4 linked regions of the Oryctolagus cuniculus genome follow. Each later gene encodes a partner of the first gene's protein in a complex. Links are inferred from orthologs where the notes say so. Each region holds a gene or a part of one and is shown in the gene's direction. Other genes may lie near its edges.

The links.
Region 2: the proteins of JARID2 (region 1) and EZH2 are in contact, whole or in part, in a cryo-EM structure (PDB 8VNZ), measured with the Homo sapiens proteins. The link is inferred for Oryctolagus cuniculus from reciprocal best matches to the Homo sapiens genes JARID2 and EZH2. Residues at the interface, in NP_004964.2 of Homo sapiens: Arg108, Pro109, Arg110, Leu111, Ala113, Gln114, Arg115, Lys116, Thr154; in NP_001190176.1 of Homo sapiens: Arg78, Ile131, Pro132, Tyr133, Asp136, Ile146, Lys156, Val157, Asp160, Arg161.
Region 3: the proteins of JARID2 (region 1) and EED are in contact, whole or in part, in a cryo-EM structure (PDB 6C23), measured with the Homo sapiens proteins. The link is inferred for Oryctolagus cuniculus from reciprocal best matches to the Homo sapiens genes JARID2 and EED. Residues at the interface, in NP_004964.2 of Homo sapiens: Pro109, Gln114, Arg115, Lys116, Phe117; in NP_003788.2 of Homo sapiens: Pro95, Phe97, Tyr148, Arg306, Asn307, Tyr308, Cys324, Asp362, Ile363, Trp364, Tyr365, Arg414, Asp430.
Region 4: the proteins of JARID2 (region 1) and AEBP2 are in contact, whole or in part, in a cryo-EM structure (PDB 8VNZ), measured with the Homo sapiens proteins. The link is inferred for Oryctolagus cuniculus from reciprocal best matches to the Homo sapiens genes JARID2 and AEBP2. Residues at the interface, in NP_004964.2 of Homo sapiens: Ser148, Lys151, Pro152, Lys153, Thr154, Glu155, Asp156, Leu158, Thr159; in NP_001107648.1 of Homo sapiens: Arg407, Ala410, Ile411, Asn414, Leu415, Glu420, Ser421.

Annotation. Positions count from the first base shown.
Region 1 is NC_091436.1:155,486,244-155,491,211, reverse strand, and holds the start of JARID2 (protein Jumonji), read left to right. Parts: upstream 1-1,902; 5' UTR 1,903-1,909; coding exon 1,910-2,335; intron 2,336-4,968.
Region 2 is NC_091434.1:174,689,483-174,694,235, forward strand, and holds the start of EZH2 (histone-lysine N-methyltransferase EZH2), read left to right. Parts: upstream 1-1,365; 5' UTR 1,366-1,382; coding exon 1,383-1,633; intron 1,634-2,098; exon of another isoform or gene 2,099-2,428; intron 2,429-4,753. UniProt on the Homo sapiens protein: Polycomb group (PcG) protein. Catalytic subunit of the PRC2/EED-EZH2 complex, which methylates 'Lys-9' (H3K9me) and 'Lys-27' (H3K27me) of histone H3, leading to transcriptional repression of the affected target gene.
Region 3 is NC_091432.1:77,386,426-77,391,214, forward strand, and holds the start of EED (polycomb protein EED), read left to right. Parts: upstream 1-1,742; 5' UTR 1,743-2,527; coding exon 2,528-2,641; intron 2,642-4,789. UniProt on the Homo sapiens protein: Polycomb group (PcG) protein. Component of the PRC2/EED-EZH2 complex, which methylates 'Lys-9' and 'Lys-27' of histone H3, leading to transcriptional repression of the affected target gene.
Region 4 is NC_091440.1:117,093,438-117,098,414, forward strand, and holds the start of AEBP2 (zinc finger protein AEBP2), read left to right. Parts: upstream 1-1,451; 5' UTR 1,452-1,658; coding exon 1,659-2,317; intron 2,318-4,977. UniProt on the Homo sapiens protein: Acts as an accessory subunit for the core Polycomb repressive complex 2 (PRC2), which mediates histone H3K27 (H3K27me3) trimethylation on chromatin leading to transcriptional repression of the affected target gene.

The DNA of each region.
Region 1 (4,968 bases):
CCAGGATATTTTTTTGCAAATTTCTGACGGCTTTAAATTCATGAAGCAATTGTCCCCTCTTGCAATCAGCATTTGGATCTCAGAATGAGCAAGGAAAGACCCAAGAGGAATATCATCCAGAAGAAATACGTAAGTGCTCCTAACAACACAGCCTCTGGCTTGCAGTTTTAAGCAATGGCTGTGAATGTCAAGTTTATAGATAATTCTGCAGCTGAAGGGCTTTAAACACAGCGTCCGAGAAGGCTGTTTTCTTTCTTTTCTGAAAGGGCTTCTCAGGCAAAGTCGTGTCTGCCTAGTTTGGCTGAAAAGCCAGATTGGTGTACGATATCTCGAGTGAATAAATTGACCTCGAATGACACAACCATAATCTAGTTTTAGATTGAAAGGCAAGGGGTTTTGGTGGAGCTTGGGGGTGGTGGTGGGGGTGCTGCGGTAAGGTAACTAAACTGCATTCTCCGGTGGATTTGGCCCCATATTGCACTTTGCACATGGAGATGAGGCCATGTTATTATTATTAATGCTATTTGGAAAATCGCGTAAGGCATGTGTGTTGGAAGCCCTTTTAAGTTCAATCGAGGGTCCGATTATGGCGATCTTCTCTCTGTACTGGTACATCGCATTTAATGTATGTGGTCGTTTTGGCTTATCTGGTTTGCAACATGAACCGGTTGGGAATCGTGTTACAGCATATGCATTTGTTGGAATTGACTTTAATAATGAGGCTGGTTTTGTTTAAAAAATTCATGGTTTCCAGTTTTAGGGGAAAAAGACACACACGCTGGCTAATGTTTTCAAGTATGTATGTTAATGCACATGGAAGTGACCACAAATAATTTTCCCCTGCTAACTGGGTTTGTGAAATTGGGCGATTATTCAGAGATTTGAATGGTTTGGGATAGTTGAATTTGTTTTGTGCATAGTACAGCTACATTTTGATTGGCATAGGGAGTGTTTTTGTTTTGTGTGTGGTGGCTTTTTTTTAAGTTTGGGGGGGAGGAATGAGGGGGACCGAGGGATTAACCAAATATGCACTGGAGTGATCGGTGATTAGCTAGCTGCATGCTTTAAAGGGCTTTAAAAAAAAAGGCCAAATGAACACATATTAGAAATATGTAGGATTATAAGAAAGTTTTATTTAAGTCGAGTGAACAAATTGGTGTTAGCATTTTCCCTTTCTCATCGGTGTGGTGTGTGTAATGGGAGATGACCTTCGGGGAAGTGGTTCTGTACAAAATATATTTAATGGAAAAGCTGAATGTGTCTTCTGGAGGCTGATGCTAATCTAGACACGTAAACTTCAACTAGGAAAGAAAGCAAGGTTCAATAATCGAGCCTAACTTAGAAAGCTGTTCCACAAAGAATTTAGGAATTAAAATACATCCGCATTGCAGAGGGCTGGGTGGAATGCAAAGGACTAGTTTAAACTCGGGCCGTAGAAACTGCATGGAGACAGCTTGCCTGAGCGTGGACGCCTTCTCGGGGCACGTCCGTTTCGGATGCAGGCACAAAGCAGACGGGGTAGAACTTGGACAAGAGCCGCCCCCGCCTCCCCATCCCGGACCTCGTCAAGTTGCAGCGCGGCATGGGCCGGGTTTTTGTTGCAGGCGGTCCGCTGGTGGTGTCGAGGCCGGGTGTCCAGCCGCCGGCCCGGAGGCAGAGCACGGGTTAACGTGCCCGGAGCGTAGCCTGTCCTCCCGACGGGCCCGAGCCGGCAGCGGAAGGAGGGCGCCCCGGGGTCGCGGCGGGCAGGCGGGCGCGCGGCCTGTAGGGGGCAGGCTCTGGGCTCCGGGCTCTGGGCTCCGGGCAGGCGGGCGCCGGGCTCCCAGGCCGGCTCGCGGGCGGGCAGGCGGGCGGGGGCGAGCACGGCGGGGGCGTGCCGGGGCGGGGGCGCGCGGCGCGCAGGCAGAGCATGGCGGCGCGGCCGGCCTCGCCCGCTCCCCGCGGCCCTGCCCGCCGGCTCCGACGCAGGCTTCGGAGCAACAGGTTCAGCGGGAGAGACGTCGGCGCGGCCCCTCGCCAGGCCCCGACCCTCCCCGCGCCGCGCTCCCGTGCCGCCGGCCCCTCCCTCCGCCCCCCGCGGCTCCAGGCCCCCTGCCGCTCCCGGCCGCGTTCTGTTGTCATTGTGACGTCACAAAGGGTCGGGCCCGGGTGGAAACGTCCCCTCCACCGTGACGTCACAAGTCGGACAGGAGGTTCCAGGCGCCGCGGGGCTGCCGAGGGAGGGGAGAGCGGGGCGGGGGCTGCGGCGGCGCGGGGCTGCGGCGCGAGAGGAGGACGAGCAGGAGGATGCGCTGGGCCTTTGCGTTCTGCCGTGGATCGCTGCACTTCCCACCAGGTGAGCACAGGAGCCTCGACCCTCCGGAGGGTGCCCGAGGACCTTGCTCTGAGGCCACTTGGGTTGGGAGCGGGTCGGGGCGCCGCCTCCGCAGGAATGTCTCCTTTCCTCTGTACCAGTGCCCCTGATGGGTGTTGCGGTCCTGCTGAGCTCCTGCGCCACTCACCAGTGCTAGTGGAAAGGAAGGCGATTGAATTCAGCGGAAGCTTTGCTTTGTTGGCAGCCCATCTGGTGGATTCAGCCACTTTATCACTTTCTGTTGTGTGGGGGTGTGTTGGTAGGATTCGTCCTTTCTGGAAGACTTGCAAGTACCAGGGTTGAGATCTCTGTCTTGCCGTGCCTACTGAGTAATTTTGAGGGGCTAAGCTAGGGAAGACTTGTACATCTACGTAGAGGCACAGTGCGCCTCTAAGTTGTATGGTGTCTGGACGTAGTGCTTCTGCGCAGGGGCGAGGCTCACATTCTGGGTCTGCCTTCTCCTCTGGAAACTGGAAAACATCGTCTCTGCCTTTGCCGCTTGCAAGGCACCGAGAGGATCACCAGTGTGAGACATGTAACACAGGACGCCGCTTCATGTGTAAGATGGCATTATGGCATTGTGACTTGAGCTGGTGGAAGACAGCACATTGCCTACAGTTGATCTCAGAAGCCTTAGATGCCTGCCAAGTTGCCATTTAGTTTATTGCTTTAGGAAAGAAGAATTTGGGGGTATGATTGTGATGGTAGGCTTCGGGAGAAGTGATTGTTATATTTCTTATTAAGTGGCATCCATGAGAAACTCATAAATTGCAGGGTAATCCTGTCTTAATTGTGTTGGGCACGACTCCCACTACAGTACCTTAAATAACTGGAGACATTTGCCTTTTAAAGTCCCAATTCACTTGCATAATAAAAACAGTTGCATATTTTGCTCTGTGGATCATTTCTGTCTCTCCACTGATTGGTTTTCCTGGGGAGAATAACAGTATAACCAAACTTCACAATCATTTGATCGTTGCATTATAATAGGAGTTTAAAATAATAATAAAGAAAATCTGCCCCATGAAGAGAATACAGTTAAACATGGAACTAACTTGGAAAAAAAAATGACCGATTTGATTTCTAGGCCAGCTCAAGCAGAATTTGTACCACTAAACTGCAAGTTTTAAGTATTGTTTTCTGATGTACAAGTGGAGTTTGATTAAAAAAACCAGAGAAAGTTTGCCATGAGGTACAAAAGACATATTTATTTGCTGCAATTACATAAAGTTGGAAAAAACAAGAAAGAATTACATTGAAATATAGTGGTCAGGTTTATGAGTTCAGTTTTTGTTTGCTTATTCTTTTTTCCCAGTTTTTTTTTTTTTTTAAGGTTTTATTTATTTATATGACATGTAGAGTTACAGACAGTGAGAGAGGTCTTCCTTTCGTTGGTTCACTCCCCAAGTGGCCGCAATGGCCAGAGCTGTGCCCATCCGAAGCCAGGAGCTGGGAGCCAAGCACTTGGGCCATCCCCCACTGCCCTTCCAGGCCACAGCAGAGAGCTGGACTGGAAGAGGAGCAGCCAAGACCAGAACTGGCGCCCATATGGGGTGCCGGCCCCTCTCCCAGTTTTAAACACATGTACATTTGGGTTATTCTGTAGTTATTTACTTGCTACCTCTTCCACTTTCTAATAGAAAGTCTTGAACTTCGTCGCAAGTCTAGGACAGACAATTCAGCAACCGTCTCTGTATAGAGAGTACTGAAGGTAATAAAATGTCACAAAAATTTTAAAATTAGAAATAAATTCATGTCCATAAAAATACAACTTGGTTATTAGCCCTTGGATGATTGACTTGTGGGTCTTCATAGCCACTGACCCAGATAGCCAATTGGAGTTATTTGGTACCTATAGAAGGTATAGTGGGTGTTTTTCCTGCACTGTAGGTTAAACCAGTCCCTGTTACTGGCTGAAGGCCATTGACTTGCTTCCAGGTGTCTTGGAAATAACCCCAACTAAAGTGTTACTATATCCTGCTCCAAAGGTCGTTTAAACTTTGGTTTTTCATAAAGAGATCTTTTCTAGTAAATAACTGGTATCTGTGACATTCAGAGTAGAACCAGTTTCCTCTTTTCCTTTCAAAGAAGACTGGGAAATTCATCCTACATTGAAAACATTTGGTAAAAGGGTAAATTGTAGTATTTTTAAGCTAGTGGTTTGTACTTGATCATGATGGTCATGTCCTAAAGCTCCTAATATTACTGGTACAAGTCTCAGTTTCACAGTAACAGCTAACCACCATCTCCCTCTATGTAACCTGCTAGCCTTTGGCTGCAGAATGTCCTGGGTGGCTGATAACCCTGCCTGAAGCTCTTGGCCAGTGGTTAGCTCTGGGGTGTGCCTTTGTCCCCTTTGGCTTTCACCCAGAAGGCTTGCCAAGTGTCAGTTGTTTGTTCCCAAATCTGGTTATTCCAGTTGGGCTTATTATTGTAATTACAGTTAAATATTATGTAAGCCTTGAAATTAGTGTGAAGAGTTGGTTTCTGTGAAAACTAAGTTGACTGTTTTGAGGAAGATGATACAAGTTGGTAAAAAAAAAAAAAAGGCTGTTCAATTAAGTATGGGCCAGACATTTAAAAAGATGTTGGGAAAAATATGTATGGATTCTTCA
Region 2 (4,753 bases), on another chromosome or scaffold:
TTATAGTCACATTGAAGAGGCATAACATCTACTTCTGGACTCTTTCCAACATTTATTTGTAAGGTAATTTGGCTTTTACGGGGGCACATGATTGCTTTTTTTCTCTTTTGGCTTCCTGTCATATATTTTCCAGCACTTAATTGGTTCAGAATATATGAGGAATTAGATGTTGATTTAGCAAAGATGGGAAAATCATGGGCTAACTTACAAAATTAATTCATAAAACATTTTTTTAGGCTTTTTACCCAACAGTCCATAGTTGACCTTTTAAAAATTCCCAGCCTGATCTCCCAATGTGGGATCCCAGTGAAAAAGGGTATTTTGCCCTACAGATGCATCATATGGAAAACAACTTTGGAATACTTTTAACTTCGTCGCCAGATAAGGCACAGGAGAGATTGTACCCTAAGCAGTTTATCTCTGACGCCTTTGAGGCAGGTTAACACCCCCCCCCCCCATCACTTTCTAACCACCCCAAGACGCTGCCATCGCTTTAATACTCTGCAGAGACGTAGCGTGAGGCACGTGAACCGCACGCAGCCTGAATAAACACATTTTAACGCTGGCACGTGCTTGGAACGACAATCACCAGGAAGGGTCCGAGAGGGGCGCTTTCCACGACAAAGGGGCCCTAACCGTCCGGCCTCTCGGCCCCAGGTTTCTACGGGTAGGCACCGCAGGCTCTGCCGGCTTCAGTCCAGCCGAGTGCGGGCGGGAAAGCGGCCGCCTCAGACCGAAGTAAAAGTGACGGCTCTCCCGGGGGGCGGGCGTGCGGGGCACCCGAGACCGAGGCCGCGCGGCAGGTCCGCCCGTAAACTCGGCGCCGCAACCCCGCTCCGCTCCGCGCGCCGCGCGCGGGGAAATCGGCGCGGCAGTTAAAACCGTTACCGCCCCCGAGTTTTGAATTGGTTCAAACTTGGCTCTCGCCGCCCGCCCCTCCCCCGCCGGGAACTCCACGGCGCCGGTTCCCGCCAAGAGCCGCGAGCGCGTAGCCCCGCCCTCCAGCCGGTTCCCGCCACCCCACCCTTCCCGCCTTCTGCCGGCGGCGGCCTCCGGGCCCCCACAGAGTTGCCCCGTCCCCGCCTTCCGTGCCCACCGCTTTCCCGAGAGGCGCCGAGCGTTCAGCCAAAGAACAAAGAGACGGCGGCGGCGGCGGCGGCGGCAGCGCTTCCACACGGTGAGCCGCGTCCCTCAGGCCGGGCCCCGCCGCTCGCGCGCACGCGCACCCGCGCGCCCGCCGGCCCGCGAGTCCCGAGCGCGCTCTGCGTGGGGCTCGCTCGGCGCCTCCGAGCCCGGCAGGCCCTGTGATTGGACGAGCGCCCGCCTCGCATCCCGCCAATCGGGGCGGCGCTTGATTGGACTGGGGGGGCCAAATAAAAGCGATGGCGATTGGGCTGTCGCGTTTGGCGCTCGGTCCGGTCGCGTCCGACACCCAGTGGGACACAGAAGGCAGTGGAGCCCCGGCGGCGGCGGCGGCGGCGGCGCGCGGGGGCGGTGCGCGGGAGCGGTGCGGGTTGGCGCGCGGGACGAAGGTAACGCGCGCTGTCGGCAGCTCGGCCGGCGGGGTTCCGGGAGTGCGACCCAGGGCGGCGGCGACGCGGGGACCTGCCCGCCGCTTCCTTGCCGGTCCCCGGTATCGTCCGAGCGGGGCTTCCCCGGTCGCCGCTCGCGCGGGCGCGGGGGAGGGGAGAGGGGAGACCCCTCTGGGGGGACCGTGTGAGGGGCGGGCCGGCCCGCGCGACCCCGCGAGCGGGGCAGCGCGGACCCTCCCCGGAGATGCGAGGAGGGAGCCGAGGCGTGCGCGGGGCGGGGGGTTCCCGGCGCCGGGGCTGCCCGCGCCGGGGCGCCGGGGCCGGGGGCGTTCCGGTGCCCGGTCCGGGTGGTCGCCCCGAGCTTCAGGTCTCCTTTGTGTGGCGGGGCCGCGGGAGCGCCCGGGTGGGACGGGACACACACAAGTTGGTGGGAGCGAGCCGCGAGTCCGCACTCAGACAAAGGACGGACTGTGTCTCCGGAGAGCTCGGCGTGAGGGCAGGGCAGGACGCGGGGGTCCCCGGCCGCGGGCGCGTGGGGGCGCGGGGCGCCGCGGGCGCGGGTGGGCAGGGCTCGGTCCCGCCCCGCGCCGGCTCCGGGCAGCGGCCGCGACGTGGGAACTCCGGAGGAGCTGGGCGTCTGACGTCTCCCGGAGACCCCGCGTCCGCCGCAGACCCGGGCTGGGGGCGCCTCCCCGCCGGGCTGCGCGTGAAGTTTGAGGGCAGCGCGGAGCTGGCGTCCGCCCCGCGGGTTTTGTTCGCCCCGAGGCCGTTCTGTGGAGTTCCCGCTTCATTGTGCGACCCCCTCCACTCAGCAGCACGGCTCTGCCGCGGGGTGACTTTTTGGAAATAGGAGGACGCACGAAGCGCGAGATTTCGGAAAACTTGGTGAACGCATAGTGAGTTCCCAGTTTTTAAAGAATCATACTCTTTTTTTTTTTTCCTAAGAAATTACAAGCTGTTTTGACTAACTTGTGTGGTACATCTGGGACTGGCGACAGGTGCTAACGAAGTCAACTGTCATTTAGTCGGCGATTATTTCCCAATCCCGAGGGGTTGAATGAAGATTTGATGGTAGAAATAGGTGATCCAGATAAAATGCCCATTCCGAATATGTGTTTAGGCTCTAGGGTTAGCAGTTTCTTACTAGTTGGTCTTGCTTTCCCTGAACAATAGCTTTGGTGAGTCTGAAAAGACTGGATGCAGAAGTGTTCGTTGCTTGAAAAATTGAATGTATGCTGCCCACAGTTAACCTAAAATTCCTTTGTTTTTCACCCAGGATCTGTGAAATTTAGATTCATTTGGAAATAAGAATCTTTATTTAAAGTGTTTTACTATGAGGTTTACTTTCTAGGTTTCAAGAAGTTAGGTTTAATTTTATGATGTTTTAATGTCACATAACATAGCACTTAAACCTTTAAAAATGACTAATTCTGGAATAGTGGAGTGTTGTCAATACGTGGGTTTTGGAGTTTATTTTCTATTACTCTTTGTTATTGAGCACTTAGAAGAATGCAGAACAAGTATATAGTCTTAACTGGTTTATTTAATTTTATTTGCAAGAAAATAAAAAATATTTAGGGCATATTTTAATTTCCTGTACATAATCCCCTTAAAATTAGGCATACAGGATTCTAGTCTGTTCTACTCTAGATATAAAGAATTCTATTCTCCATTTTTGGAGGTGTGTTGGGGAATGTAATGTTTAGAGAAAATTGCTCTTTTAAATTCTGACTTTTGTAGAAAGTGAATATGTTCCAAGAAAGGAAGTTAGAAAAACATAGGCTATCTTCTGATCACATAGTGTTCTATCTGAAGGTCAAATAAGCATCTACTAACTTGTGGTTTTAGAGACATGGAGACAAATACAGTCTAAAATTTTGTGTTACATCTATTTTGCAGCGTTTTGGACATCACTGAGCAACACATTCCAGGTGCTACTCTAAGGGTTGACATTATGAAATCACATTTACGTCCATGTTATTTGCTGACAATTATGTATTTAAAAATAGTAGTAACCTTGGGTATTTTGTTATGAGCTAGTTGTGCAGATTTTTGGCAGAAATTTTGGTATTTTAGGATAAGAAATTCTAATTTTGCCCTTGTGTATTCTGTATTTGATAATCACTATCTGTACTTGCCATAGATATTTTTTAAAAAAGTCTGAGAAATTGGTTTAAACTTTGTTTTAAATTATTTTTGAAAGCTTTATGAATCTTTTAATTTAGAATTACTTAGTTTAAGTAGCAATATAAAAAGCACTTGTTGATTTAGTGTAGTTAGATAAAACAAAAATACTTTAATATTGGCTTTGCTTGCACGTGTACATATAAATGATGGTCTGTTTTGGCCATTTAAAAATTTTAAGGCAGATTTCTCTAGGTCACACTGGAGTTTTTCCAGGATATCTTTTATCCTTTGAAGTGGCATTCTCAAGGGATGTAAATTTAATTTATTATTAACCTTTAAATGAGCCATGAGTAAGAAAGTTGGCCTGCTTCTTTTAAAAAACTGACAACTCGGTTGATCATACAATGAATTTGGGGGTCACTGAGAAATGATATATGAGTTATCCTTGAAGTCTTTATGCGTGTATTGTTGATGAATACATTTTTTGTAAATGATGACGAATTCTCTATGGATTGGTGAAACCATTAGTTTGAATGAGAGCATAAGTGGAGACAAGCAATTTGTTAAATTCAGAGAATGGTTCCTGATCAGATGATGAACTTTACCTTCCAGAGGCCCTCCCGCAATTTCCAGGCACTCTTGTGTTCTCAGAAGTCTTTGTTCATACTGTTATTACAGTATGTATCAAATTGTATTGTAATCACTTGTTTATGCATTGGGCTCCTTCACTGCATTCTAACTGCCTGGAGGCAGAGGCTCTCTTATTTTTCTTAATATATACCTAGCACTTACGTTGGCAGTTGCTAGAAAACACGGACTTTAATAATTGAACGAATTAAGAGAATATGGAAAATATAGGGAAATCATTTGACAGAGGAACTTGCAAAGCAATCAGGATATATTTGTGTTATAGAGAACTTTGGAAAATATTTTTCCTCCATTTCTGAGAAGCAGTGATTATAAAGAAAAATAATTGTCAAGATAAATTAGTCTTTAAGGTTCTTCCTAGTTATAATTTATGATATTGAAAATTAGAAGTCCTTTAGGTACAATTATTAGTATTCATGTTTGGTGTTTCAGGGAACTAGAGAGAA
Region 3 (4,789 bases), on another chromosome or scaffold:
AAAATGTATGTGGAGAGACCTCTCAACTGTGATAGTTCTTTAAATTCCTCACAGTAGGATAAATCAGTATTGAGAAACTATGATTTTAATAAACTTTACTTTTTCAAAATTAAGTTTTCTACTTTCATTTTATTTGAAAGGCAGAGAGACAGATACAGACACACACACACACACACACACACACACATACAGAGAGAGAGAGAGAGAGAGAGAGGATCTTCTACCCACTGGTTCACCCTCCAAATACCCACAATAGCCAGGGCTAGGCCAGGCCAACAGCAGCAACTCTTTGATTTTAAATCCCCACTTGTATTTGTTGTGTTTGGAGGAGCTGAGCCCAATTTCTCTCCCCTACAATCTTGGTCTCTTTCAAAATAGTCCTGAAGGAAGTATCAGAATAATTTATCTTTAACATTAGTTATAATGAATATGAACTAATTTCCATCATTCATCCATCCCAAACGTATCAGAACATATAAAAAATCCCTCCTAGTTTTAATAAGACTCTTTAAAAACATTTTTGCTTTGTTACAGATAACATGAGTGCTGAATATCTTTGGGTTATTTTCTTTTCATGTACCCTTTATCCAAATGGTCAGCACTTACTCCATGTTATGACTAGAAGCTGACTCCCACATCCCACTGGACCCACGCAGCAATCTGAAATGTGTTAGCTGATTATCCGTTCCTTGTAGAGTTATATTTCACAAACAGCTTTCTCAATAAAACAGAGTATCTGTCTTTGCCCAAAAAGGTGTCACACTGAAGCACATCTTACCTTTCTCATAGCTGACTCATCTGTCACATCTCTCCCCCACACCTGAGGAGTGCTTAGCAGTGCCTGGCACATTGAGAGTGTTCCACAAATACTGCAATTAGTAAGACCTGGACTTTTTCAGCGTCCATATTTTTCCTGAATCTTTATTGTAAATATGTCTTACTCTGCCCTCTCTTTGCTTCACTTTCCTTTTTTCATTCTCAACCAAGAATTCTCTGCTAACTTCAAAAGGAGGAATGACTTGCAATCTGCAGAGAGTAAAACAGATCTTCTCACTGTCAAATCATCTTGCAGAAGTAATTCAAGTATACTACAATTTTATGGCTGCGACACTAGACTGGTTATCCCTTGTGTCTTACGACGAGATCCAAAAGAGAAAACATATCAGGCAGGTGCTCAAGGTATGCTGGGTTCCTTCTCACTTCCACGCATTTACAGATGAGGACACTGAGGTCCAGAAATACCAGCACTCACAACTGTGTTCTAAAACAAAGGAGGCTGCGTTTCCTTCAGTTGTACGGCTTGATGACCCATCTGACAAATCAACAAGACTCACCAATGTATTCTGCACCTGTCAAGAGTGCAGATGTAAGTAACAGAAACTATTTTGGTGAAGTACTAAAATTGTATTGTTATTTGCCTGTCGCTTAAGTCTCACGGGTTCATAGTTGGAACTATCCACCGATTTATAGGCCTTTGAGTTTTTCAGGGCCTTGTTTAAAAAGAGCACTTGAGTTGTAGCTGTTCAAGGGTCTGTAATTTTAGCACACTTCTACTTAAACCTTAGCCAATATTGGCCACAACCGGTTGAGGTTAAAAAAATTATTGCAATAAATATTCATCAGACCAAACATCCGTCAAGAATTTAGGGTGCGTCCTGAGACGATGATTGGTAGCGCTTTGAAATCCATCCCTGGCTATGCACACGCAGTAGAAAACTACCAGGTTCAGCAAACAAGATTTCGAAAAGAGGAGGGGCCTGGAGGAGGAGGGACCCCCACAACCCAGCGCGAGAATACGCCTCGGCGCGTGCGCACCTCCAGGTGGGTGCCTTCCATTTGCCAGATGGGGGAAGCAAGTGCGACTCAGTCTACGGTTTTTAAATTCCCATCCTCAAGCAAAAGTTACGTTGGCATAATCTCGTGAATCTCGTGAAGTCGTCACCTCCCGAGTTCAGGTTTAAAGACTCTTGGCACGCAGAGCTTAAGCAAGAGGTGACTTAGCAAAGCTTCCCCCGTCCCCTGGGACACCGGTGGTCTACTCCATCCACAGACTTTCGCTCCCTTTGCAGCGAGTCGGAGATCGAAGGATTGGGCCAATTGCGGCTGAAACGTCTCTGGAAGGAGGAAGGGGGTGACGGAGCATCCCTTTTGAGTTCTGCCTGTTCTTTTCGAGGTGGTGGTGGGGACGGGAGACATACGAAATACTACCCTCTTAAGCCAACGGATCCTACATCTCCGTGCAAACTGCCGGGGGGGCGGCGGGAAAAGGGCAAAACGGGAGTCGGGAAAGGGAAGGAGCCAGAAAGCCGCGCAGGAGGGCGCGCGCGCGCGCCCCTTTTTCAGCAGTGTGGCGGGGTCGCACGCACGCCCGCCTCGGCGGCTGGGCGCGATTTGCGACACTGGGGGGAGCGGTGGAGGTGGCGGCGGCAGTGGCAACTTTGCGGCAAGCTCCGGACGGGCTTGCTTGACGGCGGTGTGGCGGAGGCCCCGCCCGAGGCGGCAGGAACCTGGGGGGAGGCGGAGGAATATGTCCGAGAGGGAAGTGTCGACAGCGCCGGCGGGAACAGACATGCCTGCGGCCAAGAAGCAGAAGCTGAGCAGCGACGAGAACAGCAACCCGGACCTCTCTGGAGACGAAAATGTGAGTGCGGCCCGGAGCAGCCACGGGACTCTGCGGAGTGGGAGTTTTTAGATTCTTTAAAAACTGCGGGTGCGGGATGGGGGGGCCGGCGCTGGGGCGGGGAGGGGGTAGAGCGAGAGGTGTCACCCCGTGCCCGGGATGGGGAGGGCGTGCGGGCGAAGTCGAACCTGTGTCTGGCGGGGATTTTGAGCCGCGGCCGAGAGCAGGCAGAAAGTTGGCCAAGGAGAGTGGCTTAAGTGAGAGCATGGGTCCGAGAGCTCTCCTCTGCCTGTGGGGAAGTGTTCGGGCCTTTGGGAGATAGAGGGAAGAGTGCGGGTCTGAGATTCCAGTAGTTTAAAAGGCGTGCTAGATTTTCTTTTTTTTTTTTCCCTAAGAGTGGGAAGGAGCGGGCAGTCGAGAACTCTTTCAAAGGAGTTCGGGCACTGTGTCGCTCTGACCCCTGTAGAATCTTCAGGATGCAAAGGGTAGATCTTTGAGTTAATGGAGTTTGAATGAGTGTTTAAGAGCGCCTGGTGTCTGCTCCCGTCCTGTGCGAATCCAATAATGAGAATCTAAAAAAAAAAAAAAATCTTGAACGTGTTTTAGAAAGCTGGTGCGAGCATTTCTCAGTTTGGCCTGCTTTAGGAATAAATGTTGTATCTCACACACGCTGTCCTTAAATTCCCCAGCGTGAATGCCTACTGAAGCGTGTTTATGGCATGGTGTCATGACCAGGATTTTCACGGAAACGGTGGGGGAAAGATTGCTTTCTGCAGAGAAGAAAGATTTCTTGGAGATTGTCAGCTTATGGGGTTTTGCACTTAAAATTTCTGGAAAGTTTGTCTGATATTACTTTAAATATATCTATATGTATATTTCTGTTTGTTCTCCCCAGTCTCACTACATAATTGGGTCTAACATTTTTTATCTTCATTCCAAGTCTTGAAGACCAAGTTTTATTTCTTCGTTTTCGTAAAATTCTGTCGGCAGATTAGGCTGCAGTTAGGAGCACAGACGCTGGATCCACATGTTAGGTTAAAATCCCCACTCTAACTGGTTGCTTGACCTTAAGCAAAGTATGTGACCTAGCTGCCTCAGTTTCTCATCTTTAAAATGGGTATAGAAGCTTTTTTTTTTAACTTTATGAGTTATTGTATTAAATGACGTAATATAGGTAAAGTGCTTAGAGGAGTACCTGCCCTATATCAAGTATTAAGCAAGTGTTATTTGTTTATAGTACTTATTTTGTGATCACCATAGTATGTTTCTTCTGGCTATTTCACATACTGACGAATCAAAATATGAAAATGTTAAATCTATTTAGGAGAATTTCAGGAGAAGAAGTCAATTGAAATCTTATTTTCTTTTTGCAGACCCTTAAGGAGAAATGCCAGTGTTCTTTGTTTCATTCTAAAGCTATTCAGATCCAAATGATTGGATTAGCCTTTGTTTGGGTTGCTCCATTTGGCTAGAAACTGTATGTGCCTTGGACCTTTTAATGAATCTTACGGAGCCTTCTCAGAATAACATTTTTAAATATATAAAATACAATATCTAAAGTTAGAATTTTGAAATTGTAAAGTGTGGCATAAAATATTTCTAAAATAAATTTTAAGTGTAGTAATATTAGCACTTTAAATAACAGGAACTAGCAACAGATCTGGTGGCAGTGATGAGTATAAGCAAGTTTTTCAATATCTGTAACCAATATAATGTGATTTCAAAATACCTGATTTCCATTGGTGAAAAAAATCATGTAACATTAGCACATATATTGTTTGTATTATATAATAAAAGGAAGTGCTAAATTTCAGTTAAGAGCTGTGAAAGTTAAAATGCAGTTTTTTGTGTGTGTGTTTTTATTTGAATTCACAGGCCCTCTCAATTCCATAAGGACTCATGATCTAGGACATAGTTAGGGAAGTCAGTAAGGGAAGGGGTAGAGAATATTGTACAAAAACTGAATTCAGAAAGAACTCACAGCTCTTGAGGGAGGTGAATAATGACAAAAGACCAAAAATAGGTGTGGGAAAAATGTGTTTTTGAGTTCAAGTTAAGACAGCTTGAGCAGTTCCTATTGTTAAAGTGAGTCACAGAATTGAAAGAACTTTTTTAAAGTTTATTGTGTATGTCATCTGCCATTTTCTCAAACTTATAAAGATCCTATTG
Region 4 (4,977 bases), on another chromosome or scaffold:
AACTGGATTGGAAGAAGGGCAGCCGGGACTTGAACTGGCGCCCACATGGGATGCTGGCACTTCAGGCGGCTGCTTCACCCACTGTGCCACAGCGCTGGCCCCTGCTTATTTCTTCGAACAAGTTTTCTCAATGCTGATATTTATGGAATTGAAAACTTGTAATAGAATTGACTCCGAGCTTGTTCTCATTATAGTTAACACCCACTGACAGACTAATTGGAAACAAATCCATACAACTACATCTCTATGAGATGCATTTCAGTAGTTTTTTTTTTTGCTATTATTTTCAATTACTTAAACTATGTTTTGATCCACTGAAATAAGATGTTGTTGGAGACGTAAACCTTTATGATAGCATAAAATGTAAAAAATAACCTGCAAATTTCAATTCATACACACATTTTTATGACCAGCAAACTTGGTAAAGTGATCAATACAACAGTTTAAGTATAAAATATATTTTTAGGATAAAATTCTGGAGGTGAGGTGGGACGCAATAAGAGTCCTAGAAAGTGAAGGAATCACGTTAATGGTTCACATATAAAAGGCGCTGGCCTTGTGATACCGCCGGTAAAGCCTCGGCCTGCAATACAGCGCCTGGCCGCTTGGCGTCCCGGCTGCTCCACTTCGGATCCAGCTTCCTGCTAAGACTCCTGGGAAAGCAGCGCGCGCCCCAGAGCTCGGGCCCCTGCACGCACGCGGGAGACCCGGATGCAGCGCGTGGCTCCGGGCCGGCCCTAGCCGTCGCGGCCATTTGCAGAGCGAACCAGCGGGAGGAAGAGCTCCGTGAACTCTGCCCTTTAAATAAAAAGGGGTTGCCTTCGCTGCAGACCAGACCCCTGAGGTATGTAGAGTCCGTTGGCTGTGTTTAAAAAAGCGTGGCAGAGGGGACACTTAGGGACAAGCCGGAACGGAAGGCGACCTCAGTGTAGACCGCACTAGGAGGCACCTGCCGGGCCGAGGAGGCGCTCGGGGCTCAGGTGCTCCAGTGTGGCGACCGCGAGTCGGCGACGTCGGCTGAGTTTGTTCACTTATGGCCGGCGGCGCTGGGCTGCGCTCTGCCCGGGAGAACGGACTTGCGTCCTAGCTGATCATTTTGTATTTATGTTCGCCAGCGCCTGTCCTCGCGGACTGGAAGCGCTCAGGCGGCCAGAACGTGCCCGATTTCTGGCGCGGCGTCCGCACGCAGGGACACTCCCCGAACATCCCCGCGGGGCCGCCGACTGGGTCGTGGGAACCCGCAGGGCGTCCGCTCGGAATCCCCAGGTCAGCGTCCCGGGCTTTCCGGCCGCGTGTCCCGCTGGCCGCGACGCCCGCGAGGGCGTGGGAAGGCCCGCAGGAAACTCCGAGCGGCCGGCCGGGCCCGCGCGGGGGGCGCGGCCCTCGGAGCCGGGGGCGGCGCCATTGGGGCCGCCGCGCAGGCGCGCAGCCGGCTCCGCGTGAGTGCGCGCCTGTCCCCGCGCGGGCTCCGTAGCGCGTGTGCAGGCTGACGCAGCCCGCGAGCCCTCCTCCTGCTCTGCAGCGGCGGCCGCGGAGTTTTGGGCGTTGGGGAGGGGGCGAGCGAGCGAGCGCGAGTCGAGAGAGGGAGGCGGCGGCGGCAGCGGCGGCGGCAGCGGGGAGGAGGAGGAGGAGGAGGAGGAGGAGGAGCAGGCGCCGCCATGGCCGCCGCTATCACCGACATGGCCGACCTGGAGGAGCTCTCCCGCCTGAGCCCTCTGCCCCCCGGCAGCCCAGGGCCGGCGGCGCGGGGCCGGGCTGAGCCCCCCGAGGAGGAGGAGGAGGACGAGGAGGAGGAGGAGGAGGTCGAGGCCGAGGCGGTGGCGGCGCTGCTGCTGAACGGCGGCGGCGGGGGCGGCGGCGGCGGAGTGGGGGGCGGCGAGGCGGAGACGATGTCGGAGCCGAGCCCCGAGAGCGCCAGCCAGGCTGGGGAGGACGAGGACGAGGAGGACGAGGAGGAGGAGGAGGAGGACGAGAGCAGCAGCAGCGGCGGGGGCGAGGAGGAGAGCAGCGCCGAGAGCCTGGTGGGCAGCAGCGGCGGGAGCAGCAGCGACGAGACGCGCTCGCTGAGCCCCGGTGCCGCCAGCAGCAGCAGCGGGGATGGGGACGGCAAGGAGGGCCTGGAGGAGCCCAAGGGACTGCGGGGCAGCCAGGGCGGCGGCGGGGGCGGCAGCAGTAGCAGCAGCGTCGTCTCCAGCGGCGGCGACGAGGGCTACGGGACCGGGGGAGGCGGAAGCAGCGCGACCTCCGGGGGCCGGCGAGGCAGCCTGGAGATGTCGTCGGACGGGGAGCCTCTGAGCCGCATGGACTCGGAGGACAGGTCAGTGCCCCGCCGCGGCCCCTTCCCTTCCCCCGCTGCAACTCCCGGGCCCCTCGGCGGGCGCCCTCTCACCTCCGGACCCCGAATTCGCGGCCCCTCCCCCAGGTTCTGGTCTCGGAAATCCCTGGCGGCCGCCGACGCCGCGCGGCGCCGCGCCCCTCTCCTCGCCGCGGCGAGCGGCTCCAACTCTGCAGCCGTCTCCCCCCGACTCCGCGCTTTCCCCGCCCTCTTCCCTCGGCTCGCCGCGGCGCTCGGACCTGAGCGCGGCTCTCCCTCGGAGGCGACCCCCGGCCGGGCCCGGGGCGGCGGGCGGAACCGAAGAGGGCCCGGAGGCGCGCCGGGCCGGCAAGGTCAGCCTCGTCGGGCCGTGCTGGGCAGCACTTGTCACCCCGGTTGACAAGCGCTTCTCCAACATGGCTGGTCTCGCCCGGGTTCGGCAGAACTTCCTTGTCCAGCCAGGAGACCCCGGCTGGCACTTGGCTCTACTTTAAAAAAGAAGAGAAAAAGAAAAGACTATTCTTTTATCTTTAACGATTGCTTTCCCCAATCCCTCGTTGCTAATCGGGAATGTGGTCTCCAGCGTGATTTTAGTCTTTTCTCCTGTTTGTTTTGTTATCAAACCGGGGAAAAAGTTTAAAACAAGTATAAAATCATTGTGGGAAAGAGTAGTGGATTGATTTCCTTTAAAATAACTTTGCAGAATTAGAGAGTTGGAATCAGCGGTACAGCATTAGTGTGTGGCTTAAAATCTTAATTATGTAGCAATGCAGTGATTTTTAGATATTTAAAGTCTTGTATCGGGGAGGTCTCTGAAGGAATTAGTGTTACTTTCCTAAAGATCGTTAGAGACTTAACAACAATATGCCCCCCCTTTTTTAGGGACATTTAAGGAATTTATTTCAGTTTATTTTTCGATTGTTGCTACCTTTATTTTCGATCTCTGGAAAACTTTAGTTGGGTTTTGATGTACTTTTTTTGGAACTCACTTTTTGCTTATATTGCTTCTAAAGTAGAATAGTAATTATTTTGACCATGCTAATGTTTTGACACGCAGAAATTTTAAGTCAGTAGTGATTTTGATTTAAAAGCTCTTTCTAAAGTTTTAGGAATTTTGGTTCTTAATTGATGAAAGTGAACACTTAAATTTATATGCTTCTAGGAATACAAGAGCTGGAATATGTTGAACATTAATCTTAAATTCTGTTTTTAGCATCTAGTTAGAAAAATATCCTGGCTGGAGTAAAATAGACTGCACAGACCTTAGGAAAATTGTGCTGAACTGTATAGGTATGGGTAGGAAGGAGGACATCTTTAATAAAAATTTAACAGTTGATGCAAACTGAACCGTGAGGAATCTGCCATTTATTGTTTTCCTATATCCTCTTCCATTAGTATCAATGTGTATTTTAAAGTTTGTGTTAAGTTTATACAGTGAGCATCTAATCCAGTGTACACACGGGCACATGCCTGCCTAACAGTGCGTGGTTTAAATGTCTTCCTTTCATTCTCAAAATTTCTTAGGATAGGTGTTATTTTTGACTACTATTTAACAGATGTAGAAGCAACTTGAATGATTTACTCAGAAGAGTAAATGTAAGGTGGAAATGGTGGAGCTGGATCTGAACACATGTTCTCAAGTCCCTTGTGATTTTCATTTCACAAGCATTAGGATAATTCACCTTAAATAACAAGTGTTGTGTGTCAGAGTTTTGTTTTGCTTTAGTTAACAGTCTGTCCACTACATCCCTTCAGGAGACCATGAATTATTGATCAAGTAATATTTCAAGATGTGGAGTTTTGGCTTCATTTGCTATTTATTATACTTACTCGAACTTGATGTAATTTTTCATCATACAAGAATTCTGAGAGTAAGGAGTTAAGAAACTGGTCTCATAGGTCCAAATAAGCGTATTGGTTTTCTTGAGATTACAGAATGTAGTAATTGTGTTTCAGGGTGATATTGTCAGCTGTATGAAAGCCTTGCTTATGAAACTGCTTTGTTGTCTTCATAATCTCAATTCTGAAATAACTTCCTTGTTAACAAGCTTTAATTTTTTCCCCTGTTATTTTAAGTTTGGAAAGGCTCCATAATTTTTATAAACTATCCTTGAGATTACAGCAGTGTTTGTTGATTTGACAGGTTGCTTTCATAGTAGGAAGTCTATTTTTGTGACTGATAGAATATTTTAGTTTTAAGTTGCTTTTTAAAAAATTTGAGGTATTTTTGTTAAAGTAATTCCATTATCAAAACCGTTAGAATGCATATTTAGTTTTTCTGTCATTTTGAGATAATATTGTACTTTTGAATTTATCTGATACGGTTTAAAATTTGTTGAAATCATAGCTAAGTGTTTTTTATTTTTAGTACTACTTTTAAAAATGATTAAATACAAAATTAGATAGTAGTTTGTGACCTTTGTCATTTACAAACATGTATTAGAAGTGTTGGGTGATGAAAAGGAACTGATTTATAAAATTGAATGACACTTGGCACAAAAAAGTTGCTCATTGTCCCCAGGAGAAAGTTATTCAAAACCAGTGTAAGTTTGTAAGCAAGTTTATTTTAGTAAATTTAGAAAATCTTAAAATTGTTATGCAATTTTACTTCTACGTTGGTTATAATACAGGTAGAATTTTTTTTGGGAGAAATATTTAGCTGT